4 linked regions of the Drosophila melanogaster genome follow. Changing the gene in region 2 together with the main gene of any one other region gives a genetic interaction. Each region holds a gene or a part of one and is shown on either strand. Other genes may lie near its edges. The genes, in order: Arr2, rdgB, PIP5K59B and stops.

Region 1 (6,822 bases), on a different chromosome or scaffold from region 2:
TACAAAAAAAAAAAAAAAACTGTTGGCACTACTTGTTAAGTTCGAAAGGGTAAACATCCACCATTTTTCACTAGGAAAATCCTTTTATTTAATAAATAACTGAACCACCACCGTTATTTCGTAATAATTTCACCCATATTCAAGCGAAATTTTCTTACTGAATTGCATGAATATGTATGTTAATAAATTTGTGTAAAAAATGGATAATTGATTTTAGGCATGAAGTGCATGTTAAGAGCTATTCCAAAATAATGAGCAACCACCACTTTTCAATTATTTTTCAACCCAATTAACTTACTGAAAGTACTTGGTTTCCTTGGCACTTCGGTCAGCTGGACTTCTGGTTTCGGCCACATCCGTGTCCAGATCCTTGGCGTACCTCCTGGGTCTTTCCGTTTGGACATTCTGTGAGGGTTGCTGCTGCTGCTGCTCCTGCAATCTGGCAATGCGAGGTGGAATCACATGCAACACATCGCTGGTAAAAAGAGCCGGTGGCACATTGTAGAGTTGCTGCGGCTGCTGTTGCTGCTGCAAGTGTTGCTGCTGCAAGTGCTGCTGCTGCTGCAAGTGTTGCTGCTGCAAGTGCTGTTGCTGCAACTGGTGTTGCTCCTCGACGCGGCGTTGTGGTTGCTGCAGCGAAACCCGTTGCACTGGCAGATAGTTACCTTCATATCGATATTTGGCCAAATCGGCGTGTGGAGCGATGGTCCGCTGCTGGTACTGGACACTCTGCTGCGGATACAGGGGCGGAGGGGGTGCGGCAGGAGCGGGCAACTGCTGCTGCTGGTAATCCAAGCCCAAGGGCTGATAACTCGGCCGATAGTTAATCAGCTGAAAGTGTGGCGTCTGCTGCTGAAAGTGAATCGCCGGCGGAGGAGCCGGACTATAGCCGCCCACAATGGGCGTGGCAGCGGCACCATACTCAAAGCGACGAAGACGCGGTGAATCGTAATACAATTGTCTTGGATGGTAAAAGACATGTGGCTGCTGCAACAATGCCGGCGAAACGAAAAGCAACAATTGCAGGAGGAATATTTGCATCTTTAGCAGTCCGTTTAACTTTCCAATTGGCAGATCCATCGCGTTGCACTCTCGTCAAATTTGTGGCAGCATTTTGACAACAACATAGCCATTTATAGTTGGCCACTTTTCGGGGCTTGGCCAAAAGCCGGAAGTCACTTGCCCAGCAGTCAGCGGTGTGTGAAATCGATCGACGCTGCTGCCCCGGATTGTGCAATGCTCCAACGGTCAGCTGCAGGGCTTATATAAGATATGGCAAATAAAATGCGAGAAAATTGTAAAATAGAAAAAACCAAAAAAAAGAGGAAAATCAGCTAGACTGACGGGGATGAGACCTAGAATCAAACTGCTGGCAGCTGGCGGCCTTAGCCATCATCAAGGTCAAAAGCTTGGGCTATTTAGCATACACAAAAATTGTGTATTTTGGCAAACGCATTGTCAACATCTGGAGCTTGGAACTTCCGTTGACCGTTAGAGCCGGCCATATCCAGTTCTGGTTGATCCTGATTGGTGGAACACATATCCTGGCAGCCTGTTGCTTCTTGCAAGGGGTTGAAAGCCTACGATGTGACCTATAAGCATTGGGCTTTTCAACCCCCTGTCATCGTTGAAAAATCACCCTTAGAATTCCTGCCAGCAGATCCTTCGTCGTCGAGCTGCGCAGTTGTTTAGATCATTCGACTTCTGAAGTTGAAACCCACAGCACCGCCAAGAACAATCCACTACCAAAAACCGAATCCTTACCGAATCACTTTTGGATACTACATCGCAAACGAGAGAAAAGGTGAGTGCTTTTGATAGCCATAACACATTTATAATATAGCGACACGAGGTCTGTTCAACTCATCAACATGCATATGTACGGGTACAAACTCCAGATCCACCAAAGTTACATTATAGATACGATTATAATACAAAGATTGTGGCCTCCACGAGAGACTGCTGCAACAAATTTTCAGTGCTTTCGATTTAGTTCAATTCGGTTCACAACAGAGCTAGAAGAGATTGAAGATCGGTGGCCTAGTCCGCCATGTTCACATTGTTCATGCGCATCTTGGCGAAGTCCTCGAATACAATATTATCGTCATCATCCTGGTAATAGCCCTTCACATTGCGGTGCTGCTCGATGGACTTCATTTTCTTCATGGCATTCGAGCGCTTCTTCTCAATGGTTCCTATACCACATCAAAGGAATTACAAACTAGAAGTCAAGTTCAAGTAATCTTCTAAAGCTTACCAGGTGCCGGTTGGAGTAGCTTGAAGGGCACATCCGTCTGCATTTCACCTCCCAGAGTGCCGCAGTTGAGCTTAATGCGCACCGAGTACGAGATGACAATACCACAGGCATCTCCCGTGGACTTGCCCTCCTGCACCATGGTGGATGAAGCCAGGTTGACATCCTCGTCCTTCAAGTGACCATCCAGGGCGATACCTGAGTTCACAATTAAATAATCCATTAGAAACTATCCAGAATCACAACTATCACATCCAAATCCTACCATGGCGATCCTTGTTGTTAGCCGCCAGCGGAATCAAGTAGAAGGTCTTGGTGAGATTGGCGCCCGGAGTGATGGGGCAGCCCTCCTTGGTCTCCAGCTGGGCCACATGCTTGCTGAACTGGGCGTTCACCATGGTGATCTCAGTGTGCTGCACAATGAAGCACTTGATGCTCTTCACGGACTTCTTGGAGTTGTTCGACACCTGGACGGTGGCAGCCGTCTTCTCGCCATGATAGTAGATCTCCCTGTCCAGCGTAACCTCCAGACTGATCTTGCCATTCGAGAAGGTGAATCCCTTGCTGACCAGCGAGCTGGGCAGACGCTGGCCACGATTGAGGGGAGCGTACTGCAGCTTCTTGATCACCAGACTGACCATGCTCCGCTTGTGCTGGCGATCGTCCTCGGAGTCGCCCACAAATGCCCGGATGGTGTACTCGACGCCCAGGGGCTTGCCATTGTCGTCGCCCTCCTGCTGCAGAGTAACGGAGCTGGGCGAATTGGGCGGGAAGTGGAAGGTGAACGGATAGGCGTTGCTGCCCAGTTTGCGGACCAGCTTCTCCTGCATCGGTGTCATCTCCATGTTGGGATTGGTCATGGGCACAATTTGCTCCCGGCACAGGATAAGCTCCTTGGAGAACTTCACTCCCATGACCTCGTCCTCCTCGCGACCATAGCGATAGGTGGTGGCCAGTTGGCCAAAGACTTTCCTGTTCTTTAGATAGTCCGGTTCCACCACAATCACTCCATCGACGGGATCACAGTAGTCGATGTGGTCGATGAAGTCGCGGCGTCCCAGATAAAAGGTGACCTTGCCGTTGGGCGTGGCCTTCTTAAAGACCTTCACGGATACAACCATTGTGGATTAGTGGATTTCTTTGATTCCTGGCAAATGCAACTGGGCAATTCGAGGCTAAGTCGGGCGATGCGCGTTATAGAGTTTTCCGTTCGGCGGAGGAAAATGCGAAACCCAAGTGCCGTACAACCTGCTTATATACCTTTGCCCTGGCCCTGTCCGTGGGTCTTCATTCTGGCCACTAACTGGATTTGCTCGTTATGCACTTGTTTGTTGGCTTGTCCAACACGACAATAAGATAGAACCATAGGAACTAAGGGAAAACTGCAAACAAGCTGCTTCCAGGGGTTGTTCTATTTTCTGCGCAGTTTGCCACTTGCCCGAGCAAATTGGCTAATGTCAAGTATCTTTTTCCGATTTTCCGACCTAGTACGAGGTCATTTGGCCAACTGTTGAATAATTGAGCATGGTAGGTTGGAGCTGGATTAGCATCCGATTTGGTGTTACCGGGTTGTTATCAATCGGCCAGTTTTGTTCTCTCTTAGCCAAACATCAGTGGGCAGCAAGGAGAAACCTTAGATGTTTTTAATTTTGTTATGTATCAAACGTCGATATATTGATTTTAATGTGAGAGGTATAATTGAAATTGGCATTTCTTACAACTAGCTTACCAAAGGTCGCAATTCATTGTAGTTAATGTTAGATAATATTTAAGGTCCAGAGAAATTGGTATTATTTTGAATCTCTCCTTTTTTTTTCTTTGCAGTTGAGATCTAGAACCAAGATGCAGACACAGACACACACCACCACAGACCGACATGGCTATAGCCTGCGCTTTTCGCCTTTCGAGGCTAACTACTTGCTGCTAGCTACAAGGTGAGATCAATCTTAAGCTCTAAAACCAACAATATACTAATAGAAAACCATTTTTTTTCGATACCCAGCCAACTGTACGGTCTTGCTGGAGGTGGTTCCCTCTTTCTGCTGGAACAGAACTCCAACACAAATTCCTCATCCACAGATGGCCAGAGTCTCGGAGAGCTGTGCCGCCTAGAGTGGTCCGATGGATTGTTCGACGTCGCCTGGTGTCCGTATGCCGCCGATATCGCCGCCACTGCCTCCGGAGATGGATCGCTTCAGATCTGGTGCGGATTGGATGGCGAATCGGCGAGCAACCAGCTGACGCCGAAACAGCCGCTGATCTGCCTGCAGGAGCACAAGAACGAGGTGTACAGCCTGGACTGGGGCGAGAAGTGGAACTACCACACGCTGCTCTCGGGCAGCTGGGATTGTACACTGAAATTGTGGGACTGCAACAGACAGAACTCCATCACCACATTTGTGGGCCACAACGATCTGATCTACGGGGCCAAGTTCTCGCCCCTGATCGCCAATCTGTTTGCAAGCGTAAGTACCGATGGACATCTTAACTTATGGAACTCTCTTGACTTTGCAGGTAAACCCCTGATGAGCATCGAGGCGCATGCGAGTGAGGCACTATGCTGCGACTGGTCGCACTTCGATCGCAATGTCCTGGTCACTGGAGGTTCGGACGGTCTGATCCGCGGCTGGGATCTGCGCAAGATGAGGACGCACGTCTTTGAGCTGTACTCTGGAGAATTCGCTGTCCGGCGATTGGCCTGTTCACCGCACTCGGCAGCGGTCTTGGCATCGGCCAATTATGATTTTACCACAAGGTAAGTGGAATGATCTTAGGCTTTCAAAAAACAGGACATTTTTATGGTTAGTAACAACTGTCCACTTTTGTCACCTTTTTAGGATTTGGAATCTGGAGCGTGGTGAGTCCGCCCAGGAGGTCAATGCGCGGCACACGGAGTTCGTGTGCGGATTGGATTGGAATCCCCACAGGACCCATCAGTTGGCCGACTGTGGCTGGGACTCGTTGGCCAACGTTTATACCCCGCAGTGTCTGAGCGGTGATCTGGTCGTCTAGGTTAGTACAGGGCATGCCCAAAACTGGAAACTGGAACTGGTACTCCCTAAATACCGAAAACACATGTGATAAGGCGCTAGTGGCGTCGAAATAGCCAGGCCTACAAGCGGTGCACCGTTATTACGATAGCTGAGCTATATGCAATGCCTATAAGGAACTGTAAGGAACCGAAGACAAGGACTCATCGGCGCAACGATGACGTGTAAATAGCTGTGTGATAAACGCTGAACGGGCTAAAACCTCAAGCAGGTGCTTCAAAATGTCAATAAAAGCTTACATATATCACGAGTATTATATGAATTATATGGGTTTTCTGCGCTGCTCTGTATGTTATTATGGCCTTCGCAATAAGTTTCTTGGCCCCTGGCTATAATTTGCACTCGGCCCTTGTCTTAACAAGAATTTAACGGATCACGGAATTGGAGTTCGAATTGGTTAGGTGGCAAAGAGCCAGCCAGACGCTGACGGAGATTGACTTGGCATCCTTATCCGGTTGGCTTAACTCTGACCAAACAAACACGCAATAAAGCGCTAATTTGCTGCAACGTTTTATTGCCCGAGTGGAGCCGAAATCCCTGTCATTCCCGGAATTGACACAGCCAACAAGGTGGATATTGCCCAAAGGTGTGCCAGCCATCGCACCTTTTCGGCATGGCATGGTGTGAAATGGCAGCAGTTGCTCCCTGCGAACTCAGATCACAGATCCCAGATCCTGGCACCCCGATCCCGTCATTATCAACAGACTGCGCTTTAACTGCCACTCGGGGCAAATATTTGCTTTGAAGCCAATTGGCGCTGATTTCTTCTGACAATTGGGGGCAGATCAGGAGGACCTTACTCTCGATTCTCGACACCAGGGAACAGCAGCTGCTGACCCGTAATTATCTGCTCGCCAGTCAAGTGATGCCAAAATTGATATTAATGCCTTGTTTGTGTTAATAAAAATCGGTTATTCGGAGCCTGCCAAGCTGAGAGGTGCTGAATTTATCCTTAGGCGAAGACAGATCTTGATGGGAATTCGGCACCTCATTTTATTTTAAATAATTATTTAATGAAGGAGTGTTTTGCCAGTATGTATTATTTGTTTTAAGTTCGGTGCCGAAACTTGTGCAGCTGAATTTTTCTTTGGTAAAAAAAGCTTAGCATCAAACATGATAGTTGTGTAAATATGAATAAAATAAATTATGTTATTATGTTGTGTCATGTCATGTTATGTTATGTTATTATGTTATAATGTTGTTACATTACATAAGAAATTTTGAAATATTTTAAATTTATGGTTGCAACGGTTTGTGCTATAAATATGTGGCGCCGCCTATCGGTAGTTTACAGTACCTGTCTATTTTACATGCATTCTACATACATGCACTGCTTGCGAATACATATCAAATTAATATGCACTGCTTTATAACGTTAATTTGAATATTTCGACGCAAACTACAACAAATATTCAAAAAAATTTCATTCTGAAATGTATTTTATATAATTTAAATATAAGAAATAACATTTTATATTCAGTTTATTCGACAATAATCATTTGTACATTTTAAGACCCA
Region 2 (7,578 bases):
GAGGGCTCTCGGGGGTTCCTTCCTTCTTTATTTTTTTTTTTTTTTCGATGCGAATCGGTGGTCAATGTCAGCGAAATGCCAACAAAAAGAAGTGATTCTCCCCCCTGATAAGGTCAAGTAAGGTACATATCGGTACATTTCACAAGGAACAGCCAAAGAACTACTAGTTCAACCTTCTTCACTCGCATGTCCCTTTGCCCATTTCGCTTTCAGTTGCATAAATAATCAATTTGTTACTTGAATGGTTGTATATTATGATAGTGATTAGAAGTTATTACCAAACTTTTGGCTCGCTTGCAATTGAAACTGGCCAAAATTCCGTTTATTGTGCATAATTGGGTTGCTCTTCTTACCTTGAACCATTTCTACTTTTCCTATCTTTTTGCTAATTGGATTTATTGTTGACTGCTGACAACAGCAATACCAACCAACCAAGCTCAGGTGGCCTGAGGGGCAGGTGGTGTGGGTATGTGTGTGTATATATATATATCTATCTATATACATAGCTATGTAGGATGTCGTCTGACGCATTTGCATCGCATTTTGACCTATAGGAATGTAGCTAAGGAGAGTGGAGGGAGTGTGGGTGAGTGGGTGGTGGGCTAATTTAGGGGGTGGAGAAATGGGCGGGCCAACACGTGTTTAAGACGAGTTCAAACGGCGATAGGGGAATTATCGTTATGACTGATAATAAAGTGATGAATTCCCGTGCAGAAATATTAATTAGTTTCGTATCAAGTAATTACAGTGGGTATTGCTTAAAGGGAACTTAACTGATCATTTTTATTAAGTGAAGAATATTTCCGCACAGAACGTTAAGTTAAAATCTAAGCTACTTGAAATTTGTCAGTATATCTATATATCTATATATTTATATTATCAAATATAATAGAATATTCTTGGGCATATAGCATATATATATTCTTAAACTACAATTAAACCTCTTAACTACGTAGCCCCACTGTGCTTACAAGCTGTGAACTTCCATTGCTAATGACCTTCATTAGACTCCTAATCTGTTTAGATCTTATCGCGTATTTATCTCGACCACAAATTTGTCCAGCTCCTCATTAAGTGCTATTGTATTCCCCCATCCAATTTATGGATCCCAAAGGAGCTTACTTTTTAATTGGAGCTTTTGTGTTGGTCGAAAAGGGGGGAATGGGGATTTTGTAAATTGATGTAAGTGGCACTTAGCATGCAAACTCAACACTCAACCATGTTGCGCAAAAGTTTAGATTTCCCTATTTACTATGAGATTAAGAAAAACAAGCTACAGAATATCTAATACATAATACAATACATTCATTCTATATGAAATTACTAAAAAGAAGCTTTTGATATATGTAATTATATTATGGCATAGTTTCATTAGTTTGTAGTTATATATGGTTTGATCCTAATAAGATCTGGATAGACATTGTTGGGGAAATGGGGGAGGGGGCGGGATGTTCTAGATGCTAAAATAAGAGGCACAATAAAGGAGGGCCGTCAATCAATAATTATTGGGCACAGCGGGCAGTGGGGGAAGGGGAAACGAACACAGACATGCACATGTTTATGTCATGGCAGTTACATGGCAGGCCGTAACGAATCGTAAGCCCCAACAATATGGCCACCGCTTTAGGCCCCCTTCCCCCTGCCATGCCACGCCCCCTTTTCGCCTAGCACTCTCCACCCCCCGTTAGCCTCCACACATCACCATTTTTCTGTTTTTTTTTTTTGCCTCCTTAGCATAATTACATTTTGTGACACAGAAAATGCGCCAACAGATTTTCTTTGCTACACTGGGTCAAAGGTTATCGAAAGTGTGTCCTATATATAAGAAAAACAGATAATTTCATAACGAAAACATGTATCTTCCACTGTTTTAAAGTTGTGAAACAACTTTTTTGGTGTAAAAAATTTCTGTTAAGCTAGCGAAAGTAACAATGTGCAGTTAGCACTATATGAAGAATGCTAGGTTTTGTTTACAACTGCAATTACTTTTCCCAATTTAATATTCATATGTATGTACATTTTTACGACTTTTAGAGAACACAAGTAAAGTTCATATAAGAAGAAAGCACCTGCAGTTAAAAGTGATAAGAAATGTTAATATTCACGATGAGAAAAAACTTTGCAGCGATAAGATTTATTACAATGGAGCTTCCTTTATGGGGCTTATAAAAAAATGGACATTATTTACGATTCGCTTAAAGTCTTCTTATTTGGCGGGGGGCATTCGAGAAATCTAGACTAGAAAACACCTTTTTTTTTAAATGATATAGCAGCCCGGAGATGAAAAAGCGGCCCACTGTGCATCAATAAACAAATTACAAACGCACACATGTGCTGGCTATAAAAGATCCGGCCAAAGTGCACGTAGCCTTCAATGTGGTTGTTTATGATGTATTTTGTCATTTAAAAAATTTTTGTTTATGATGTGACCAAAGGGTAAAGCAAGGGTATGCACACGGAGAAAAGTAAGAGCAATATCACAAATATTTTCATTCATTAATATTATTAAAATATATTAACACAATGCACATTTTATCCATGTCCACTCTGATATTTAAATTATTTTTAAGATTGCTTGATATACTTTTCTCTCCGTGTAAAATCATAAGATGAAGATGGGTAAAATTCCACGCTTTTATGCACAAAACCATTTTTGTTATTAAGTCTGCCAGACAGAAGCTCAAATAGTGAAAATAGAGGAAATAAATTTGCGCAATTGTTGCAACATCAAAAACGCCAAACTGATAAATAAATTGCCATGGTAATTGACCAAGCAATACAATAAAAAAAAAGGTGTAGAAAAATGTGCAAAAAAAGGTAATAAAACGAAGAAAAGCAACAACAACAGAAAACGCACTCAAGCGGAAATAAATGAACGCGAGACAGAGACAGAAATAGACGGGTTGGGATGCAAAGAAAGCAAAGGTTGAAAGAAAGCCTATTAAATCCGAGTCTCAAGTTTAGTGAGCTAAATTAGACGGAAAAGAGCAAGAAAAAAAGGTCACGTACTCTCTCTTTGGCTCTCACCCACTCTCCCCGTCTCGCTCACTCCTTCGTGCACACCTGTGGCACGCTTTGTGCTTATTAATAATTTATAAATACAATAAGCAGCAAAAATAAGAACACAACAAACGTATTTCTTGGGTTCATCTCAAAAAGGGCCTATATAATAATATTTATTTTGTACAAAGATATCTTTTATAGACTCATTTATGAAAAATGTACATTCCTAAAAATATTAATCATAGGAAATTCATAATTTCTAAGATTAAAGACTTTTTTTCAAAAACCAATGGTTATAAATTCCAGAGCAGTGCTTTCGAATAAATATTTTTATTTTTCATCTGAGTTAAGTTCCTATTTTTTTAGTATAATGAAATGTGTAAAAAATTATTTATGGAACATTAACCAAAAAAAGTTATTTTTTATGAACTCATAATGAAAACATTTCTAACAATATTATTCTTAAGAAATTTATCATTTTTAGATTAAAGCATTTTTTTAAAGAAATAGTTATAAATTAATATTTTTATTTTTAATTTGACTTAAATTCCTTAAAAAATACTTTAAAAAATCAATCATTAAGATGGCTATAAAAGACTTTTTAAAACGCTGAACTGTAATAAACTTTATCCGATTTATAAAAGTGCAAAAGTACCAAACATAACAAAACAAAGCTTTACGTGAAAATTACGCATGGAAAATTCTTATCACAGACTTGTTGTTGTTTGTAAAAGAGAGCAAAAGCGTGAAACAGGAAGAGCGGTGGGAGAGAGCTAACGGGACCTTGAGACCTGGCCACAGCCAACACACACACACTTACACAAACGCGACGCAGCTTACGCATTTACGCAGCTGCCACCCACACACACACACACACGACAACCGAAGTATCCTTAACTAATTTTACGAATTTTGTTGTAAACTATTCCATTTGTTACAAACAAAGGTGAAAAAAGAGCAGCAGTGGAAAACGTACCAACTTTCGGCGGGCCAACTCACATTATTATCATTGCGGGCAGCTGGACAATTAACAACAAAAGAGTAAGGTCCAAAGCGCAAAGGAGAAAAAAAAACAACGAACAACGCACAACAAAATATAAATATACAGTGGATATATGCTGACTCGATTGGGCGATTAATACAATTTATCTATTCATTTTCTTCGGGGCGCTTTTCCAGGCCGCAGATGAAAAATGTTTTCAGCGTTGTTGCTGCTTGCCTTGCGTTTGCTTATTTCTTTTTGCAATCAAAACGTACACACTGAAAAAAAAACAGCGTGCGCTGCGCGGCGGCAAAGTTGCGATTGCGACTCGGCTCGCGTTTGATTCCGAACTGAAGTAAGATGAACCAAACCGAAATGAACTGAACGGAACGCCGAACGCTGAACTGAACGAACGCCGAAAAGCAAACGAAGCTAAAGCAAAAGCAAAGCCAAGAGAAATGAGCGGAGAGAGCGAGGCGTTCCGAAAATGAGTATCACCGCAAAATCGCCAGACTCATAAAAAGTATACTAGTATATACATAAATACATATGTATGTATGTACATATTTGCAATCTGGATAATTTTTGCTTAGATATTAAAAAACTATTTCTACATTACATATACATACATGTTTTAAGTACATTTTAGAAAAGGACTATTTAAGGACTAATTAAATAACAAAAAAGTTAAAACGCCACCGTTTCTGAAAACGGTCAGTTCAGTTCTCAATTCTCAACTGACGATTCGCGGAAAACCCCTTACTTTATTTGTGCGCAACAAAAGCGCGCGAGAAAGCGTCACTCTCACTCTCTTTGCCTTTCTCTCCTTTTGCGGGGACACTCAGCTGGCTAGGCTGAAAAGGGGGGGTTTCGTAAATTGGATTTATGCATATCGGCCAATGAATAATATACAGTAATTTCTGCAAGAAACTCGGATGGCCAGAACCCCACAAAATGCCAACGTCCCGGCGTCCTTGTGCGCTCTCTTCTGGAGAAAAGCAGCGAGAGCAAGAGCTTGCCAAGCCCAAAAAGAAGAACAAACGCTGAAGGGCAAATAGTGAGAGAGAGAGAGAGAGAAGACGCTCTAAGTGTACGGTAAGAAGATAAGCTTAACGGCGCATTCCGTTCGGTCAGAGTCAAAGCAAACATGTCACGACATGCACAAACAAAAGACGCCAACTGTTGTCATTCCGCTCCTGTCACTCCAGCTCCCTATCTCGCTCTATTTTCGACTCTGCTGTTTTCGCTGCCCTTTCTAGTTTGTCTATTGCATTTGATAAAGTTCAACTTTGACATTTACACCGCGCATGTCCCAAAACTGTAAGGAACAATTGAGTTTACACAGGTTGCCCAGTGATTTTTGAACGAGTAGTCACTAACGATAAACCGAATGCAAATTTTAATTGAGTGCACATCAAATGGCAACGGACACTAGTTGCCTCACTCTCACTTCCGCCCACTCAATGCATCCATCTCCTTGTGCGTATTTCCATCCCAACTTCGCAATCCTGTTAAGCATCTAGGGTGCTAGTAAATACCAAGCTGCACAGTTTTCTAAATTTTGATTTTTATGAGTTATTCCTAATTTCTTTTCAGTTTATTTATTATCTACATTTTCTTTCGTGTACCTTTCATTAGGTATCATAATTGTATTTTAGGCACTTTTTGTTTGCTTTATTTATCGTGTTGTTTTTTGGTTAAGCATCTGCTTAAGATCACCTGTGATATATGCATTTATCTTTTTATTATTAGCTCATTTAAGTTGTTTGGCCGATTTACTATGTTAAATATGTATATTTTCGGAAATTTTTCTATTTACTTCAGAAGGGGTGCCTAAAAATGTGCCCAGCAAATTCTTGTGTGTGTTTTTTAATACCATAAAAGTTAGAATCCAATCCAGAATAACCATTGCTATTGCTATTAAAAAACTTGACTTTTCGAAAATTTGCAGCTTTTATTTTTATGGGATTTTATAGATTTTTCTTTTTTGATTGTTTGATGAAACTTCTAAGCTAAACTACGCATTCCGGGTTTTTATTTTCTGATTATCAGAAAGTGCGTGACGATCGAACGTCCCTGGTAACCAGGGGGCGTGGCCATGGGCGCTCTAGTTCTGGGCGTGGTGCATGCCATGGTAGGCGGCCTGCTTGTGGGCAGGGCTGCGCTGACCGAAGGGGCTCTTGGCGTTGACCTCCAAGATGTAGTCACCGCGCAGATCGTAGTCGATCTGGAGACCCATGTAGGCGCGCTTGCCAAAGCCATCCTGCTCCTTGTACTGCTTCAGCGAGTTGGCCGGAACGGCGGGGAAATTGCGCTCGCTACCGGGACGCACAGACTCGGCAAAGTAACGGGTGGCACGGGCCACAGCCTCGATCACATTCTCGGAGCCGGGAACACCGGTGGACGGTCCGTTGGGGTAGAAGTCAACATCGCCGCAACGGATGGGCGTGCCCATGGCGAAGGTCGATGTGTGAATGGCATCAACGAAGTCAGCATCGCCGCGGGACAGACCACCCAGGATCTGGGGACGCTTGGACAGCACCTTGGCGGGATCCAGACCGGTGATGCGGCGCAGCTTGTGTCCGGTTTGGGCGGTGTACTTGTTGCCAGCAGCTCCGGCCACATGGGCGCTGATTCCCTGGCCGATCAGATGGATGATCTCCTGGGGCACACCCTTGTTGGTCAGATCGATCAGGGTCTGGCCGATCATGGCGCCGGTGTTCAGAACATCCAGCATCGCGTAGCGTTTGAAGTTGGTCAGGGTGGAGCCGAGGTCAATGATCTGCAATTTGAATTTCATAAATATCCATATGTACACGTTTAATTATGAAATATAGGAATGCGACCAACTTACGATCAAATCGCCGCTGGCAGCCTTGGCGGATTTCCATTGGTCAGCGGCCTCCTCGCTGCTGGTGTAGTCGTAGTCGCTGCTCTTGAGCTGCTGCTGCTGCTCCTGGGCGTTCTTCTGCAGCTGCTGGAGGTTGTACTTCTGGACGTAGGCCTGGATCAACCTGCGCATGGCCTTCTGCTGAGCGGGGCTGGTCTTGGGCAGACCAGTCAGGACAATGGTGACCTCATCCTCGCCGAATCCGGGCTGTGCCTTGGCCGTCTCCACATAGTTGTTCAACTTGCACTCAACCTTCTGTCCATTGGACTTGATAATCCAGACGGGCACATTGCTCGGGCTGGGCACAAAGCTGGGGGTCAGATCGTGCTTGATTTGGCCAACGTGGTCTAGGTGTGATTCACAAGGAGGTTATCTCTGGAGATTTCCAGCAACATCGGTTTCTACTCACAGATCTTCTCGATCACCTTGGCGCCCTGCTCCAGCGGCTGATTCTCCAAACGCTCCCAGGTGATGTCGTTGAGGGAGGGCACGTTCTCCAGCTCGGTGGCGGTCAGCCACTTGGTCGGCTTCAGTCGGTCATTGGAGGCATCCTTGGAGGCATGGGCCGCCACCAGGAGGCAGGTGGCCAGCAGGCAAATCCTTAGACTCATCATTTTGGTGCAAATCCGGAATTGAATCAGATCAGGCCAAACGCTAAACGACGTTTGATGGCTTCCTTCAGCCCCATCTCTGGCTTATATAG
Region 3 (10,539 bases), on a different chromosome or scaffold from region 2:
GTAGATGTTCGTGTATGTGGGCTGCAAAAAGTCGATTTTTCGCTAACAAAAAGTATCCTGTCCTGTGTGGGCAAAACTTTAAATGGCCCGGGCCATAAAAGGAGATTGCCATAGTTGCGACTTGCAGTGGGAGATGTCCTGCGAGGAGCTGCTGCGTCCGAGGTGCTGAGCTCGTTGGGCCGAGAAAAGTTTGTGCCAGTCAGTGCCCGTATCCCCAGAAAAAAGCATCCCCCTGCCATTCTGCTTCTGTGATGAGATTGGTGATAATGAGTGCAACCAAAGGCCCCCATGTATCCACATAAAAGCGCAAGCCGAAAACAGACAGCACCGCGATAAGTAGAAACGTCCAACCACCACAGAAGTATTCATTGCCACGCACAACGACGGCGCGTCCTCGCGGAACGGGAGGATCACGAGCGACAGGATCTGGAGTGCCCAGCGACGCTGAGGCAAACTAGTCGGCTGTCATGGCGGGCTGGCGAGGACGAGGCCTACGCGCCACGCTGCTGGCCGTGCTCGCGTTACTCTCGGGTGAGCAGTTCTCGCATACATCCTTTTTGGGTTCCTCCAAACTAATCCTGTACTCCTCCTACTCCGCCCCCATGCCGCATAGTCACTCACTCGGTGCGCATCACCAACCTGCGGGTGCCACGCACCTACACGCTGTTCCGAGACCACGAACCCGATCCTCTGGTGCTCGACTGCGAGGTGGAGATCGGGCCGCGGGAGCAAGGATTCGTCCTCAAATGGCTGTTCAATAACCACTCCATCTACCAGTGGATACCATCGGTCAAGGGGTTCGCCATGGTGAGTCACTCGGGGTCTTTGGTCGCACCGAATTAATTAAGATTAATCGAACTCTGTCTTTGTCTTCGATTTGTTCTTGTTCTTGCGCCTGTAGGGCTTCATGAAGTCGAAGATAGACACCAAAATATTCACTATGGAGGGCAGTCCCGGTGTTATATCGATAAAGAATCCCGACTGGAACATGACGGGGGAGTACACCTGTGCAGTGCAGACCTTCGAGTCCACGGATAAGCGGAGTGCCCGCCTGCAAATAATCGGTGGGTGTCACGACCACGGCCAAAAGAAAAAGGATCGGCGGTGAAAGATGTGCGGTGGCGATGGGAATGGGAATGGGTAGCAGGTGGTGGTGGGGGTCGAAAGGTCTAAGGTGGTGGTTCTGCCTCTGGTTCTGCCGGGTAACCTGCACCCGCCCCCATCTTGACTTGGCCCCCGCCACCAGGGTGTTTGCATAGGTGTTCTCGTGTCGGTGTTTACACAGGGAGACAAAAATTATGATTTATGTACTTAAAAGCCATTAACAAAAGCCGAGAAAGCCTTACTCTAATGCGCTGGCCTTTATTCTGTCCCACTATTAGCATTCATTCTCTCGCATATCATCTTGTGCCTGGGCAATTCTAATTTAAATTTTCAACGTACCTTTTTAAGGAACTTATATTCTATTATATTTCATGATATTACTTTCTATTTTGTTTTAAAGCAACTTTGTTAGCTATATATATATATATCCATAACTACGGTTTGAATATTTTAATCTTAGTTAGTATCTGAAGTTGTTTTCAGTGCTGTAGGACAACTGTAATTGGCTTAGTCAGGGCGTTCCCAATCGAGTTCCCCTTTTAAATGCTAGGGTCAGTACTTTTTTTTGCTAGTGCAGGTGCTGGGCGCCGTCTGTGTGGCACGTGTGATTCGCTTTCATATTTGCATGCGTGTCATGTGGCAGTCTCTGCGGTGTCCGGAACCACGGCTTGTTTGTGCTGTTTTGTGCTTTTCTTTGGGACACTGTTTTGCTTGGTATTGTTTTGTTTCGTTGTTTAGTTTGACACTTGATTAATTCTCACGACTTTTTGTCTTTCGGCTCCTGTCCGCCGGCTCCACCACACACCCTTCGTCCAATCTGCTCCAATTGCGACAGTTCCTGAATCGGATTTCATGCTGGAAGCGCGGATGAGCGGTTCGCGTATGGACGTGGACATCATGTGTGCGGTCCAGCACGTCTTCCCGCAACCCATGCTGTCTGTCATGTAAGAGGATCCACTGTCCCCGGCAATTTAAGGCCGGTGAAATCCAATAGCGCAAGGACCTAATCGTTCCCTCCGCAGGTTTGACACCCACATACTGGACTCGGTACTGACGCAGTTGGACCAGGACCCCAGTGGCCTCTACAGCATGACCGTTCGCACCCGCATTCCTAGAGATCAACTCGAGTCCCCCACCCCAATCACCTGTGCGTTTATCCTAGTTGGCACCAACTACACCAAGCGCCGGGAGACTATTTTCTATGGTAAGTACAGGTAAGCCTGGATAACACTTTGCTTATAAGGACAAGTTATTCATTCATGCATCATAGCATTAAAGTAGTAAGCTAGATTTGTTTGAAATTTTTAACATCTGTCCGTTTCTCCATCCTTATAGAAAACCTAGTTTTAAAGTTAACAAAATTGAATACATAATCTAATATTTTCTTCTTTACAGATAAGGCCTCAACTATACAACGCAAGTGGACAACGGTCGCCGTAGTCATGTCCATCGCATCCTTAGCTCTAAGCAGTTAGTTTGGTAGTGTCCTTTTTATGTAGGCTACATTCGTTTTTATGTTTGGACTAGGAACTTTGATACTCCTTAATTTTTAATAGACTTTTAACGGATAAACGTAATTTTTTGCGGTATTTTTAAAAAAAAGCGCTTATTTTGTACATGCATGTATTTGTAAGGATAACGAAACACAAAACAAAAACAAACACCACAATGCGTAAGCAAACGAACCCATAAAGACAAAAAGGACAACAGTAAAGCATAACAAGAAATTCTTGTATTCATATATTTACCACATAAATAAAATATATATGATAGTTATATACGATGTATAGGTCTAATTGAGTACAGAAACGCTAATAAAAAAAATACGAAAAGAAACATTAAAAGTGCATTAAACCAACCGCCTTCGTCGTCGTTTTTCTTTGCTAAAAAACTAAACAAATTTTAAAATTGTATTTTTATTGTAAAATTACGCTGTAGATTGGACTCAAGTCACACATATAATAAAAAAAAGTCTCAGCATGACTAATTAAATCCAAATTACTTTTGTTTATGGCATCTATGGATTGGTTTAAATGAAGTTTGTTTTTAATAATTCGTTTTAATCATGTGGGCGTTACAGGGCCACAGGGTGTTATAAAATTTATTAACATAAATTATTATTTACTATTTTTATGTTTGTATATTATATTTCCACGCGTCAAAGGCTTATAAGCTTTAAAAACATTGCTATTTGCGGATTTTACAACAGTGCGGATGCTCCGCTTCACCGTCTGACTGTGAATGCAACCCTGCGTGCCTGTTCCTGCGCACACCCTTCCAGCCCTGCCGACCTTCCAGCCTTCCAGTGTGCCTATGAGTATGCAGTGAAAATGACAGCAGTGGCAGAGGAGCCATCAACATCACCATCACCGTAGACAGCAGAAACGTTGACGCCAGCGCCAGACGAGAGCCAAGGTTCCTGCCACCCAGTTAGCCCACTCGATTGGATAATCGCCGAGGATCGGAAAACGTGAAAGCAGCCCTCGAATAGCCCAAGTCCACAATCCCAGCCAGCCAGCATGTCCTAGTGAAGTCCTAGACGTGGGAAGAGTGCAGAGAAGAGAAGAGAATACGATAGCAGAGCAGGAGCTGCACGATGGCCTCCGGCGATGGCGACACCATCAACACCATCGACATGGACAGCTCCTCGGCGTCTCAGGCCAAACTGGCCGAGCCCAGCAATGGTAACTATTATCCACAGACCCCGTCACTTTTCGCAGCGTGAAAAAAATCAATGACTGTCGAATGGAAATGCCCCTGGCGCATGTGTCTCGCGCGAAGGGAGGAAGCGTGAGTGTGAATCCACCCCCGCACTTGTCAAACGGACTTCCATCGGCTCCTATTTATATTTTGGGATTGATAACAAAAGAAAGTCACACGCGACTGGAGGGAGAGTGTCCTGTCCAAGTTCAAGTTGCGGTGATTGACCAGGCGACTGCGTCATGGCCTGAATTAAACATGACTCCTAATAATGAACTCTGTCCGTCTTTCTTTAGCCTCCACCGACCATGTGGGAAACTCATCGCCCGACGTAAGTACATCCGCCTTGACCTCGAGGTCACTCCCATCCAAACTAATCGGGTCAATTACTTTCACTCCCAACCAACCAACTAACCAACCATTCATCCGTCCAGCTGGGCAACCGACCGAACCGAGCGTCCAGCAAGGCGGACAAGGAGCGCAAGATTGGCCACAGACGCGTCGGCGAGGGCGGCGAGATTACGTACAAAAAGATCCAGACGTCGCAGATCATGGGCTCCATCCAACTGGGAATCCAGCACACTGTAAGAAACATTCATAGCCTTAAGTACTGGAGCTTGCATGTTTTACTAGCACTATTTCCAAACATTTCAATGAACTCAGGGCGGGGTTACAAGATTGACCCAAGCTTGATTCGTATGACATATCTTGTATATCTTGGCTTTTTCCATCTACTTAGTAATCTTGAAATATCCTTCGCAGGTCGGCAGTCTGGCCTCGAAGCCCAAGCGTGATCTACTTATGATGGACTTCTGGGAAATCGAGAGCATCACCTTTCCACCAGAGGGTTCTAGCCTTACACCTGCCCACCATTACAGCGAGTTCAGATACAAGATCTATGCGCCCATAGCGTTTCGCTACTTTCGGGATCTGTTTGGCATCCAACCAGATGATTTTATGGTGAGTGGGCGACCGTTCCAAGTCGGCAGATACTGATGGTCCATACTTTCAGATGTCCATGTGCACGTCCCCGCTGCGGGAACTGTCCAATCCTGGTGCTTCCGGCTCTATATTCTACCTGACGACCGACGACGAGTTCATCATAAAGACGGTGCAACACAAGGAGGGTGAATTCTTACAGAAACTACTGCCTGGGTGGGTAACCCGAACAAATCTTTGCAAGAAGACCTATTTAAAAAGTGTTATCTGCATTTCAGTTACTATATGAATCTAAATCAAAATCCGCGCACGCTATTGCCAAAGTTCTTCGGATTGTACTGCCTGCAGACGAGCAATGCCAAAAATATTCGCCTGGTGGTCATGAACAATCTGCTGCCCTCGTCCGTAAAGATGCACCTCAAGTACGACCTCAAGGGCTCCACGTTCAAGCGCAAGGCCAACAAGGCGGAGCGTGCCAAGAAGTCGCCCACGTACAAGGACCTCGACTTCATGGAGCAGCATCCCAACGGCATATTCCTGGAGGCCGAGACCTACGCCGCGCTGATCAAGACCATTCAGCGCGACTGCACGGTGCTGGAGTCCTTCAAAATCATGGACTACTCGCTGCTCCTCGGCGTCCACAATCTGGACGTGGCGCTAAAGGAGAAGCAGAGTGAGCAGAGAAAACCGCTTAGGGCTCCGCTGGCCGAGGACTCCGATGTGGATGCAGACGATCCGCTGGACGGCGATGCGGCCACAGGCATCAGCAGGAATAAGTGAGTATCTCAGCTTGCTGCCAAGCCTTCGGGCAATCTAAAGATCTAACCCAGTGCGGCATACAGGTCAGTGAATCGCCAGCGGCTGGTTGCCCACTCCACGGCCATGGAGAGCATTCAGGCGGAGAGTGAACCCATCGACGACGAGGAGGATGTGCCGTGAGTGCCTCAGTTTCAGTTCCATATATTTTTCCGAGCTTACATGCGACGACCTAACCCAATTCCAGACCTGGTGGCATTCCAGCAAGGAGTGAGAAGGGCGAGCGCCTGCTGCTCTACATCGGCATTATCGACATCCTGCAATCCTACAGGCTGAAGAAGAAGCTGGAGCACACATTCAAAAGCATCATACACGATGGGGTAAGACTGATGATTCTAGCAAGAATTTGCCACTGATATATACTCTTGCAGGAAACCGTATCGGTCTGCCGGCCCTCGTTCTATGCTCAAAGATTCCAAAACTTTATGGCCAAGACCGTGTTCCGCAAGATACCCTCCCGTAAGTGGACCGGTCGTGGAAGTCGGGCTAAGTACTCGTACTGTAAGGCATTTTTGTGTGCAGTTGGCCGAGTTATGCAAGCACTCAGTTCCGGTTCCGGTTCCGGTTTCCGACATTTTTGAGTAGATAGTTAGCCATAGACACTTTCACACCATTTACATTCGAACACACCGAACACCATTTAGACACTCGTAGCTTGCTAATGTTGGTTAATCGATCGATGTGCAGCAAAAATGCAATATGGTACACTTGGCCTGAGTAGACGCCGATTTGAAGAGATACCTATATACATATCTCTACATCAAATCAATATCCACCAACAAACCGCTCTGTTCTCTGCTTTCTTTTATGGCCATGTCTCGAATGCAATCACCCACTCTTACGTACGCATATAGTGGATCTCCCAGAGATCAAGGGGAATCACAGAAAATTTCGTACCTTGGTGACCAGCTATATAGGTAAACAAACGAATGGTCGATGTCCTTTAACTTTTGATTATCTCTCACTTTCTTTACTTACACCTTTCTTAACGAGTATTTTATAGTGTTTATTAACGATGTTTTGTATTCACCACTTGGTTTTATATGATTTCGAAACGGACGCCAAAGCATGCCTCTCAATCTCACGTTAGTTGATCTCACATCCCTGGCATCCTCGGCATCCTTGGCATCCTTGGCATCCTGGCAACCGTATTGCTCTTGGCTTCGCATAGTTGCTTTGGAAGTGCTATGCTTTTTGAACTTTTTCTTTTGATCGAAACAAATTTATGCGTTCCGCAACTAATTACTGCATTTCCATCATTTTTGCAGCGCTTAAGCATTCGCCTTCGAAGAGAAAAAGCCTTTCCAAGGCTATTCAGCGCTCCATTGACAGCGACAACGAGGTGGCCTCCAGGCGTAAGTTAATCACTCTAAAAATTAATGTATACTAACCACGACTACAACTTGTTCTAAAACACTCTTTCGATTCCTAAACCTATTATAATTTGCTCAGCGGTTCACGCCTCGCACTCGCACAGCAGTGGCAAGATTCACCAGCCAGCCAAGCCGCCCACCACCGAGCCCACGCCAGCGGGAGCGGCAGGTGGAGCCGAAAGAGGAGCAACTGCCCTAGGTCCAGCAACCACCAGTGGCGCCAGTGAACGGGCACCACCGCCCGTCAAGCAGCGTACGCCGGCGGCCAGTAATCTGAAGACGCGAGTGCCACCGCCAGTACCGCCACGCGGCTCGCCACGGCGCAAGGATGCCCAGGATCGGACGACTCCAGGTACAGAACCGCACACCACTAATCCCAACCCGGCACCAGCACATACCCACACCCTTCAGGTGCCAGCGAACGAGGGCATTCCGCGATTCGGGGATCGCCGTTCGCCTAGCAATGTCCAGGATTGGTTGGAGCTGCATGATCTCTTCGATGGTCCGGACAGTGGTCCATATGGTCCATATGCACCGCCTGCTCCTCTGGCAGACCCAACGGTTACTCTACTGAGAAGTTCTTCGCTGCGGCGCCGGGATTCCCTGCACTCCGCCTACTCCACGGCTCGATCAGAAAGTAGCTTCCGGCGCCAGCAGCCAAGACTCCTCAACCACGTGGACATCTTTCAGCGCAAGAACAGCTTTGTGGCGCGCAGTGATCGGTCATCGGTGGGCTCCATAGTTCGGAGCTTTCCGCCGATCAGAGCGGAAAGCTATCGTACGGGACGTTCCCGATCCTCGGGCAGTATTCACAGCCAGCATTCTCCTAGGCGAGGGATTCAAGAGAAGCTGCAGCGACATCAGAGGCGGAAGCGTTACTTTCACTACGTGGATTTGGCGCTCGGTGGCGAGGATTGCGAGAACCAGCCGGAGGAGGATAATCTCCTGCAGTCGGTCAGTGCTTTTTTGGAGGTCAAACGAGAACTGGAGGCGACACAGCGTCCTAGAAGACCTCTACCCAAGCTTACGCTTCCCGACCCGGTCGTAGAGCCTGCGAGGAGTCCTCCTGGACAGCAGATCAGACGGGGCAAGAGACGAGCGCCCAAGGCAGCGCCCTCCACGATACCCGAGAGCGACGGCACTCAGGGATCGACTGGACGCGGACAGGGACGGGATTAGCTACTCGCTTGCACCTCGCTTACCCAGCCACACTACACCATTACCCAGCTACCTTTTATTACTACTGTCTACTTCTGCCACTCATTCCGTTGTATATTTTGCTCTGCTCATTGTATTGCTAGGCACAACGCCCTCATGCAGCTCGACTCCTCCCCCCGCCTTTGACGACATCTCCGAGGACAGCTCGAACAAGAACAGCAGCTCGTCGATAGGTCGCCGGTCTCATCATCATCACCACCATCACCAGCAGTCGCAGCAGCATCAGCAGTCCTACTATCTGGATCGCAAGATGAACATTGGACCCGCCTATCGAGGCTCCTACAAGGAGGACATTGTGAGGTATTAATGCTTATGTATGTTAGCCATCTAAGCTATCCCGCCGTCGAGTGGAAATACCCATTTGTAACAAATTGATTTATTGTTTAACTAGCGTTTCGGAAGTCCATCTGGATACATTACTGGCGGTGGACACGTCGTCGAGCAGCCAGTACGGATCCCGCGGCGGATTGGCCTGGACCCCGCCCGCTTCAGGTGAGGGCTCCACTCCCACATGGACAGAGGGCACACCAAGTTTTACGGACTCCAGTTCGAGTGGTGATCTCGGTAATTGGCACTTGAGATTTGCTTTGAAATCGCTTTTTGTGTTTCTATATCTATCTGTATATGTGTATTCGTTCACGCTTGCAATCGTAGACAACTTCTCGCCCATAAACTCATCTAAAATCGATCGACACAAGCCGACGGTGGAAGAGGCCATCAACTCTCTGTCCGCGGGAATGGTAAATATCAGAGGAGACCGACTCTAGACACGATCCCCAGCACACATAGATACGTCCCGTACCGCTGCACCCACGACACCTCCACACCTAGACAGCTCCACCCCCATCACACACAGAGTTAGACTCGCACACGTCCATGTAGAATCGTACACTACTAGAGTTTTCCAAATTGCAGTGCATCTTTCGTTTGGGTGTTCTTCCCTAGCCATTCCCCCACAGCATCCCACTGATACATGACTTCTCTATTGCATTCTTATAGATCAACTAACATAGCATGTGGTGACGGAACACAAGACACACCAACCCAGATATATCACGATGTGGACTGAGAAAGAGTCCGAGCGAAATATGCCTCATACTCTTACATACTGATTATGCTTGCGTGTTCAGGCGCTCTTGTATAGCTAGGATATAATCAAAAGGCGCCCCACGTAGAACAGATTCCCCCATGTCATGCCCACGACCACGACCACAGCCACACCCACACCTGCCCATCCCTTCCAGCGGACACTGGGTGAAAAATAACCAACAAGAGACATAACTCAATCAAGCAAAAGATATTATATACAAGCCCAAAGCATACTCCTTATACACAGAACTACAGAAGCATATAGCATATAACTGGCAAATCAAATACGAGTAAGGTGCTCAGGATGGCATCCCGTTGGTGATCAGAGATCCGTGATCAGTGATTCGTAGTCCCGGTCCCCTATACGTTTAGTGTACGGTGTAAAGAGTTCGTTATGCGTTCGATCAGATAATATGAAAATATACAATACACTGAAATTATATAAATAAACGTTTTTGCGATACTTTCGATCTCCGATATATCCACATAAGTACGTATTATGTATACCTATGTATAATCAGCAATCGCGATATTACAATATTATTGTAAAATATTTCAATTTACAAGCCAGACAAACCAAAAGCAAAATTATATACATATTATTCATCTGTATTTATTAACGATAATTGTAACGCGCTTAGGTTTACTCAACACAATAAACAGAACAGAACCGGACCGGACCGGACTTAAAAAGGATATTACAATAGGTGCACCAACAGACGGACTCGGACTGCAGACAACATTTGACTCAAAACATGATGAAAGAATTGATTATTTATTAATTAGTTGAATGTTATTTAACTTATATGCATTATTCTAAAGATTACTGAAATCCAAATGTAATTACAATAAATTAAATTGCAAGGTTGAAATTCCGGCATGTTCCCTCGAATGCGATTTTGCTAGACTAAAAAAAAAACGTACGTTTGAAACGGACGACTAGTACAGTTTCTGCAGATCGTTGAGCGGCTGATTCAGGAAGTCGTTGGTCCAGTTTTTGTCCGGATTATCTAGATGGTTGTCAAAGTCAACCAAATCCCGCATGGCTCCGCGCTTCAGCAGCAGCGACACGCCTTCCAATGTATCGGACGCCTGTGAGAGCGTAAACTTGGCCTTTGACCACCTTGCTCCAGAGTCTCCGGGACAGTTGAATACCTGGATGGCGGCTCGGTCGTGCTGCAGCGTCATCAGTTTGTTGTCCACCACCACAAAGCAGGCGTTCTTGAAGTTCTCCTGGATCTTGTCAGCTATCTTGGCGGCTGGGGTCTTGTCGACCTGGTTGTCGTAGAAGTTCTCCGGT
Region 4 (7,467 bases), on a different chromosome or scaffold from region 2:
AGCTTGTGAAGTTCCCAGTGCCTTGGAGGGTATAAATTATTCCGAGTGCCATTAAGTCGGCAGGTTATGCAAATGCAGTAGTGAAATAATGTAACTTGCTATTTTAAGCCATTTAAGCCATGCAATTACTGAATTAAATCATGTTTTTTTCTCAATAAACAATTAGGTTTTAGTGTTTTGTTAAACACCCTTTTCAGGTGTTTTCTTTGCAAATCCGTTACTGTTGCATTAGAACCCTAACATCGTAAGTAAATTGTGTAAATCTCATTGTGAGCTTTTAGCTTCAACACAATTCCTTTTCACGAGTGTTCACTGTTCTGCGAAAACTTTGGCAATATGCTGCTCCAGCACTGATTTATGCAACTTCAACGGCATTTGGCCGAAACGTTTATTGTCACATTGCTTGTTTTTCTCAGCTCTTGGGTCGCACACTCCACACACACACTCCCAATCGTACACCCACATACATTTGCAGCTATTGACGCTTATTCATGACTTTGGCTGCTGTTTTGCGAGAGGGCATCATAAATGTCGTCTTAATGCTTGCCAGTCAGTATGTTTTTTGCCTTCTGTTTGTTTAAGAAGCGCAAACAGTCAACTCGGCAATGGTATGGGTATGGTATATCCAAGGGGGCGGGCTGTATCTGTGTGGATTAGTGGGCGTGGTGGGGTTGAGCATGCCTTTGTGCGCTTATTACACGCATTTTTGACTTTAATCCTCCGAAGTGCTGGCGAACAAAGCCGAAATAACAAAAGGTTTACATCGCTGCCTGTTGGTTTTCAGCTTATCGCATCAGCGACACTCACACACGGACCTCATGTGCATGTGGGAGGGTCGGAAAAAGAAGGCGGAAAATGGGAAACCCCCCCCCAAAAGCAAGCTGCAAATGAAAATCTTAATTATACATGACACCAGCAGAAGTGAGAGAAAGCCACCGCCAGTGATTGAGAGCCATTCTCTGTAAAAGTGTATTCGCAGTCGTGTCTGTGGTTGTAAATTGTCGCCATCTTTCACTCAATTATGGCAGTCACACACACACACACACTCTGTGTAGGTGCCACAACAATGGCTGATGAATTAATTTAATTAAAATCCTTTCATTTCTCTGGTTACCCTTCACGTTCGTCCACCATTTCCTTGCATTCCCAGCGGGTATTTATAGTATCTTATTGTTACCGAAAACATTATTATTGTGTGGAAAACTGGCAAGCCATTAAGATTGATCGGTATCTCGGCACATAATCCGAATTTTAAAGTTTAATCTTTAATTCTTGGCGATTTGCTTTGTAAGCAACTTATAATTTGCTCTGATAGCCATAAGCTAAGTGTATAGAAAGGCTTACTGTGACTGTTATGAAAGTAAGAGCTCTCCATAAATGTCCAAGCATACAGCTAGTATGAAAAACTCTTTGGGGGAATGAAGACCTCGGCATGGCACCCAGGCAACTATCCAATTAACCCGGCTAGTGTGAAAATCGCTCGAGGCAGCAAAAGAGCGCGACACATGAAAGAGTGAAGAGGGGGGAGTGGGGAAAAGGGGAGAATGTCAGGACAGGATGGGGACCGGGCTGAGGACTCACCTGAGCTGTCGCTCCTGCTCGAAGCGCGGAATCCAGACGGGCAATGTGAGCTGTTCGCGTGTGGCGTGCTTCAGAAAGTAAACCATAGCCCGGACATTCTCGTGCTGCGAACAAAGGACATACATGGGTGTCTATTCCACGGGGCCAGGAATAGGGTCTTTCTGCCAGTCTCACCTGATCCTGAAAGTCACTGCGCCAGCCGGCGATGAAGTGCGGAGCATGTGGTCCAAACAGGGCGCCCAGGAAAATGCGCTCATATGTCTTCTCGCACTCGTAAATGGCCACTGAATTGCACAAAAAGGGGATAAATTAGTCATGGGAACAGGAAAATAGTTAAAAGTTAATTTATATAAAACAAGCCACGTTTAATAACATTTCGAAGTGGGTAATGCCATAAACCAAATTTGTATACACATTGTGACCGATTTTCCCGCGATGCAGGCAAATTGTCGGTAGTGGAGAAAGCGGTTAAATAATGTCATCAAATCGCAGCAGCGCAGCCATAAAAAAGCTAATTACGTGGCTGCACTTGTTGCTGCTTTGGTTTTTTGGCTTTCGGTTTCGTTGGCTTTTTGGCACAGCCCAGAAATGAAGTCAGCGGAAAACGGAAACGGCCACAATGTTTGCCAAACCAAGGCCAGCGGGTCCAAAAGGCTGGAGTCAGCAACAAAGCAACTTGGTGAGTGAGGACAGGACAAACAAGGAGCAAGTTTTATTGCACACGAGTCCAGATTCCCTGACAGAGGCATGCCATTAATTCCAGGCACTTTTCCTGCTCGCAAAAGTTTACGCAGCCTTTTAATTAGAGGCAGCCAACATGCGTACGCCCCAAATAACTTGCAACACTTTGAGGCACTTTACAAGTTTTACGATGCAGCAACAACAGAGCAACAGAACGACATCAGCAACACTTTCTTAACGCAATTAGCAGAAACACGTGATTAAAGTGAAAACTGCCTGCTTATGGGCGTAATAATCCGATGCGATGGGATGATATTTATTAAAGTATGCAAAGCACACAGCCACGCCCAAAAAGCAAACAGGAAAGTCTTGCCACACACACACGCACACTCACTCGCATACGCTTACGCACACATACGCATACATATGCATTTAAATTAAATTATTTAGTTGGCCCGACTCCACTTACCCAGCAGCTTGACGACCACCTCCGAGTCCCGGACTCCCCAATCCCAGCAGGTGCGCAGTCCGATGTACAGGATGTTGTGATACTTGCCCATGAGGCAGACCTGGGGAATACGCATGGAATGGAGGGTGTGGTGAAGGGGCTGAATCCCAACTGAAGTGCTACTTTTTAAATTATAAATAATTGCCATATGAAGAGATGGCATTTAAAATGGAAGAAAATTAAGTTTAGCAGACTCTGCCAAAGGAAATTAAGCCCGAAACAACTTTCCATATTTATTTACACTCTAAAAGGTCAATTGGATCGCAGCAGCAGGATATACATATTTATGCATAGTTTTAGTACTTTTCTAACCGTTTTCTAGAAAGCTTTATTAAATTCCACTTTTATTCGACTCAAAAGCAAAGCAATGTTATTTGGCTAATTAATCATTGGTTTCCATTCATAAGGCTTGGTTTAAACATTAACATTTATTTAATACGACAACGAAATAGACTGACTTGGCTTTTGTTCTAATTATTTATTTCGTTTTTTTAAGTACCGGAAACTAATTGTCAAATCATTATTAATTAAGTTGAGCTTTGCTAAAGCCCAGTGCTAGTTTGTATGGACTCTTTTAAGTAAATATTTATTCATATTAACTATTGAAGTTTGGCACACAGAAATGCCACATTGGCAACACTCGATTTGTACATAAAGCTCACCTGGCCGTTCTGCTCCTTGGCCATTCGGTGGTACCTCATGGCCGCCGTCACCGCGATGGCGGCCACCTCATCCGTCTGCGAGTTCTGGCCGCCGCTGCAGCCCTTGATGATGGAGCTCAGGTGGTCGAGGACATCTCGCCGCGACTGGCGGTCCTGCAGTCCGTTGCGGGAGATCTGCTCGAAGGTGTCGTCGAAGAAGCACTCGAAGATGTAGTCCATGACCAGATGGCGGCGCTGGGTTCGCCGGTTCCGCTGGTGACTGGCCCTATTGGCAGGATTCCGACGCAGTTGTTCCCGCACCCGCAGACGCAGCCGTGCCCGTGACTCAGTTTCCCGGCGGAAACCGTAGAAATGCCGTGGAAATGGCAACCAGCAGCGAACCCACACAAATTGGCTTTTTAATTGACTTACCAGCCGCTGGAAAGCCTGTAGCAACTGCGAAAGCATATTGCAAACAAAATTTAATTCACTTTAAGTAGGCAAATATTTTCGATTGAGCTGAATTGATGATTCCCTCCAAAGAATTGAAATTCCGCTTCAAAAAAACTCCCGCACCGCTGAAGCCAAAGAGTCGCAATACACAAAAAAGAGAGAATTTCTTTTGCGGGGGTGACTCTCTTGCGCTATCGATTTTTTGCAGCTGGCAATGATGTGCTGGGAGAACTTTTGATAAACATAAACAACTCATAATGAGCATGCGGAATATTCATTTTAATATTTTTAAGCATTGCAATCATATAAGAAAATAATTACATAGTATGTAAAGCTTATTCAAAAGCTGATATACAGTTCAATTACTTTTTAGGCCTCTTTATTTCCGTGAAGCTCCCAGCAAAGCAATTGGCAAACAGGTGTTTGATTACCAGCCGACAAGTATATTTCTATGAGCTCTTCAAAAACCGAATGGAACTCGAGGACTCCATTGAAACTGATTCGATTCGATTCAATTCGATTGGTTTTTGCTAAACAGTCTATTGCACTTTGAAATTTGCTGGCATTTTTCCGAACCATTTATTCACTGCACGCAGCGCACTCACACAATTTTCCACCCCACTCATCAGCTGCCGCTGGAAAACTAAACAAACGAAGTCCAATTTCTAAGAACGCTCAGCTGTTTACCTAAGCGCTCACTCTCCCGCTTTCTCTCCACTCTCTCTTTGTACAGAGAGTAGCGGAGGTATTAAATACGCGTTTCATGAGCATAAAGCTAAATTAGATTCTAAATTGGAATTTTCAATTTAAAATATATAGTACATATGTATGCTCTCACATTATTTTTGTGCTAAATGGGTAATGTTTGGCGATAAGCATAAAATCAAATGGCGCATAAAAACGCAGGTTTTTGTGATTTTGCAATATTAAACTGAAAAATAATTGGTTTGTCATTATAAGGATTATGCTTGATTCAACAAAAATATATTTATTTCGAAATAAATACTGATGGTGTGCTGTTTAATGTTTCAGTGCTTTTTTCGGTTTAAATCATTAATGAATTTGATTTTACAACGGAAAACTGAAAACTAATACAAAGTCACTCGATACTTCATTCCAGAGTGAAACCGATATTATCATAAAGCGAACCGCTTTAAGCTATCTTTTTAGAGATTTACTAATCCCCCTTCAATGAATCCATTACATTTTCAAGGGGATCATTTTGAAATAAATATTGCAACAAATATTCATATACACGGATTTAAATCTGTAAACAATAGGAGTGTTTTCTCGAGCTTTAGCCACGTCAAATGTATTTTAAAACACGACTCCAATTGTCATGTAAATTTCTCAGCTACAAAATAAATTCATATTTTAAATAGCAATTGTGCACATTGTTTACATGTTTTTCTATCACCCTTTGCCAATTAATATTTGTTTATGCGGGACATATCAATTTTCCCATACATTATTCAGGCCCACTCATTCCATTATTCGCCGTATTTGCACGTTTAATATTTGGGCTGACAATTAAGCGCTGGGTAAATATTTAAGCACTGCCATAAACATTAATTAAGAACGCACACCAAGGGATCCAGAGATGATGACTGGGATAATCATGTCTGGTAGGGATTCCTCGGGTCCTTCGCCTTAATCGCATATGCAAATAAGTGTCGAAGGACATTCGGCACAGTGTAATTAACTCAGGTCCATTAAAACGGTGCATATTTGTGCTGGTTACCCAGGACAACATGGCAATATTTTCACCTGAACAGGCTCACCTGAGCGCTAATTAAAAGGGCAATGCAATTGTGGCCATATGCAGGCTATCCGATGCCGCAAAGGTAGCGAATTAATTGAATTAAATTCGTATCCAATCAGCGGCGTATTGGCCGTAAATATATGAGTCCGAATAAATGCAACAATGTGTGGTTGCACTGTGGTCGAGCCAAGCGGAAGCGGAAATGCACACAAGCCTGGCGAAATTTTTATTTCGCTTCCGTTTTATGCTGCACTCGATTGTGCGGGCACATGGAGCACAATAACCGAATTTACATAATTTCTGGCGATGCAATCTAATAGCTGAATAAGGGGTCTCCCACTGTGGAAATTACGATGGCAATTTATTGGTGTGCAGATTGAGAAAAAAAAACGACCCCCGAGATATACATCATTCAGAGTGCATTATGGCATCAGACCAAGTCCACAACGGAACTCCCTAACTCGAATTTATGTGACTGCCAAAGGAGTCACATCTCAAATGTTAAGCACTACTATTCTTTGCTTACTGAATTTGCTTGCATCTTAAAGATATAGCTTATACATAACGTTCTGTCTTTATTTCTCTTCGTAAGTGATATTAAAACTCGGTGATTACTTTGTAATTTTGGATAGAATTATTTACTGCGCTACTCTACTTAAGAAAGTTTTATTTACGAAATTTCAGTTTACACTATACTAAACCCCAAAGAAGAATAACAGTTGAGTTTACACAGTGCCTTCCGCCCTGAAACTTATGGCATCTGCCCCTTTTTCCTTTCCTTTTTGCAGGCTCCTCTGTATGGCGATCAACCAGGATGATTCGTTCCACTTGGAGTACCGCGGACCCGTTATCATGAAGGGCAAACCGACGCCCATGGACTGTTGGTTCCTGACGCGTGCCACAAGCAGCATTTTGGGAGGCACTTCCTCGACCGGAGGCAGTGGCGGCGGAGGAAACGGGAGCTTGGATTCGCCGCTGCTGCAGCCAGCCACTCCGACCGCTGGCGCGGCCACGCCCATTCCCGTAGTCGCCCAGCGGGCAGCAGGACATGCCAGCGTGTCACGTACTTCGTCCGCAGGAGGAGGAGGAGGAGGAGCGGTTGTGGGCACATAGGAACTGTGCAAGGACTCGTCCTGCTGCTGCTGAAACATCCTGTAAAGTTGCCACTGCGTGCGTGACTCCATCTGTCCGAATGTCTGCGGCCAAATCTGCAGGTCCTTGGACCACTTAACCACTTCATTTCTATGCCTTTGTGTTTGTCATCCTGCATCCTGCATTCTACGCCCTGTGTCCTGTGTCCTTTCTCCCGCGTCCTGCATCCATAAACCCAAGTGTGTGTTCTTGGCATTGTGTGATTGTTGCTGCTGGCACATTGCGGCCGGAGCCCGAGGAACGTCGGATCGTTGTGCAAGGTAATTTATGTTAATGCTCTTCTATCTGCAACCATTCAAGCCAACCATCCGGGCCAACCACTTAGCCCAGTCACTTTACAAATGATTTACATTTCTCGTGTCTACGCTGGAAAAACCATCATTTGGGTTTAAGAACTGTGTAGATTGTATTGACTATCTTTTACTCACTAAGTGGAAAGTATGAATTTAACCTAGCTTTCACTTAAACTTGTGCTATCTATGCAAATGTGGTTAGAGTTTAACCTAATGTGCGCAAATCGTATGATTAATACAAAGTGTTACATTCAGAGCACGTAATTTATTCCACATTATCATGTCATGTACTGCAATCCGTGGAAATTAGCCTCGCCCTTCCGGGGCCTTATCGGAACAAATTCTAATGCCAGTCATAAAGAATATTTTGTGTCAGGACAAATTTCAACCCATCTG

Evidence for each region.
Region 1: of rdgB (region 2) and Arr2, changing one suppresses a phenotype caused by changing the other (phenotypic suppression), as found in Drosophila melanogaster (one study listed by BioGRID).
Region 3: of rdgB (region 2) and PIP5K59B, changing one enhances a phenotype caused by changing the other (phenotypic enhancement), as found in Drosophila melanogaster (one study listed by BioGRID).
Region 4: of rdgB (region 2) and stops, changing one suppresses a phenotype caused by changing the other (phenotypic suppression), as found in Drosophila melanogaster (one study listed by BioGRID).

What each region holds. Positions count from the first base shown.
Region 1 is NT_037436.4:8,645,451-8,652,272, forward strand, and holds Arr2 (arrestin 2), read right to left. Parts: upstream 3,487-6,822; 5' UTR 3,376-3,486; coding exon 2,520-3,375; intron 2,453-2,519; coding exon 2,258-2,452; intron 2,196-2,257; coding exon 2,041-2,195; 3' UTR 1,811-2,040; downstream 1-1,810. Other genes in the region: CG13305 (uncharacterized protein), read right to left, coding at 299-1,080; Pex7 (peroxin 7), read left to right, coding at 4,097-4,188, 4,257-5,009, 5,092-5,266. UniProt on the Drosophila melanogaster protein: Regulates photoreceptor cell deactivation. Arr1 and Arr2 proteins are mediators of rhodopsin inactivation and are essential for the termination of the phototransduction cascade.
Region 2 is NC_004354.4:13,759,513-13,767,090, reverse strand, and holds the start of rdgB (retinal degeneration B), read right to left. Parts: upstream 4,340-7,578; 5' UTR 4,146-4,339; intron 4,023-4,145; exon of another isoform or gene 3,980-4,022; intron 1-3,979. Other genes in the region: Yp3 (yolk protein 3), read right to left, coding at 6,093-6,767, 6,840-7,222, 7,285-7,489. UniProt on the Drosophila melanogaster protein: Catalyzes the transfer of phosphatidylinositol (PI) and phosphatidic acid (PA) between membranes. May control phosphatidylinositol concentration in transport vesicles from the subrhabdomeric cisternae (SRC) to the rhabdomere.
Region 3 is NT_033778.4:22,871,329-22,881,867, forward strand, and holds PIP5K59B (phosphatidylinositol 4-phosphate 5-kinase 59B), read left to right. Parts: upstream 1-3,440; 5' UTR 3,441-3,700; coding exon 3,701-3,788; exon of another isoform or gene 3,789-3,844; intron 3,845-4,100; coding exon 4,101-4,135; intron 4,136-4,238; coding exon 4,239-4,388; intron 4,389-4,566; coding exon 4,567-4,764; intron 4,765-4,816; coding exon 4,817-4,959; intron 4,960-5,021; coding exon 5,022-5,519; intron 5,520-5,573; coding exon of another isoform or gene 5,574-5,585; coding exon 5,586-5,678; intron 5,679-5,746; coding exon 5,747-5,879; intron 5,880-5,930; coding exon 5,931-6,018; intron 6,019-6,413; coding exon 6,414-6,476; intron 6,477-6,827; coding exon 6,828-6,914; intron 6,915-7,011; coding exon 7,012-8,111; 3' UTR 8,112-8,233; coding exon of another isoform or gene 8,234-8,450; intron 8,451-8,541; coding exon of another isoform or gene 8,542-8,714; intron 8,715-8,804; coding exon of another isoform or gene 8,805-8,890; intron 8,891-9,149; coding exon of another isoform or gene 9,150-9,163; 3' UTR 9,164-10,108; downstream 10,109-10,539. Other genes in the region: CG13532 (uncharacterized protein), read left to right, coding at 468-531, 614-807, 902-1,064, 1,940-2,048, 2,127-2,308, 2,500-2,579; EMC8-9 (ER membrane protein complex subunit 8/9), read right to left, coding at 10,179-10,539.
Region 4 is NT_033777.3:31,164,595-31,172,061, forward strand, and holds the start of stops (slow termination of phototransduction), read right to left. Parts: upstream 4,011-7,467; 5' UTR 3,880-4,010; coding exon 3,433-3,879; intron 2,832-3,432; coding exon 2,732-2,831; intron 1,866-2,731; coding exon 1,756-1,865; intron 1,686-1,755; coding exon 1,582-1,685; intron 1-1,581. Other genes in the region: Gycbeta100B (guanylyl cyclase beta-subunit at 100B), read left to right, coding at 6,415-6,739.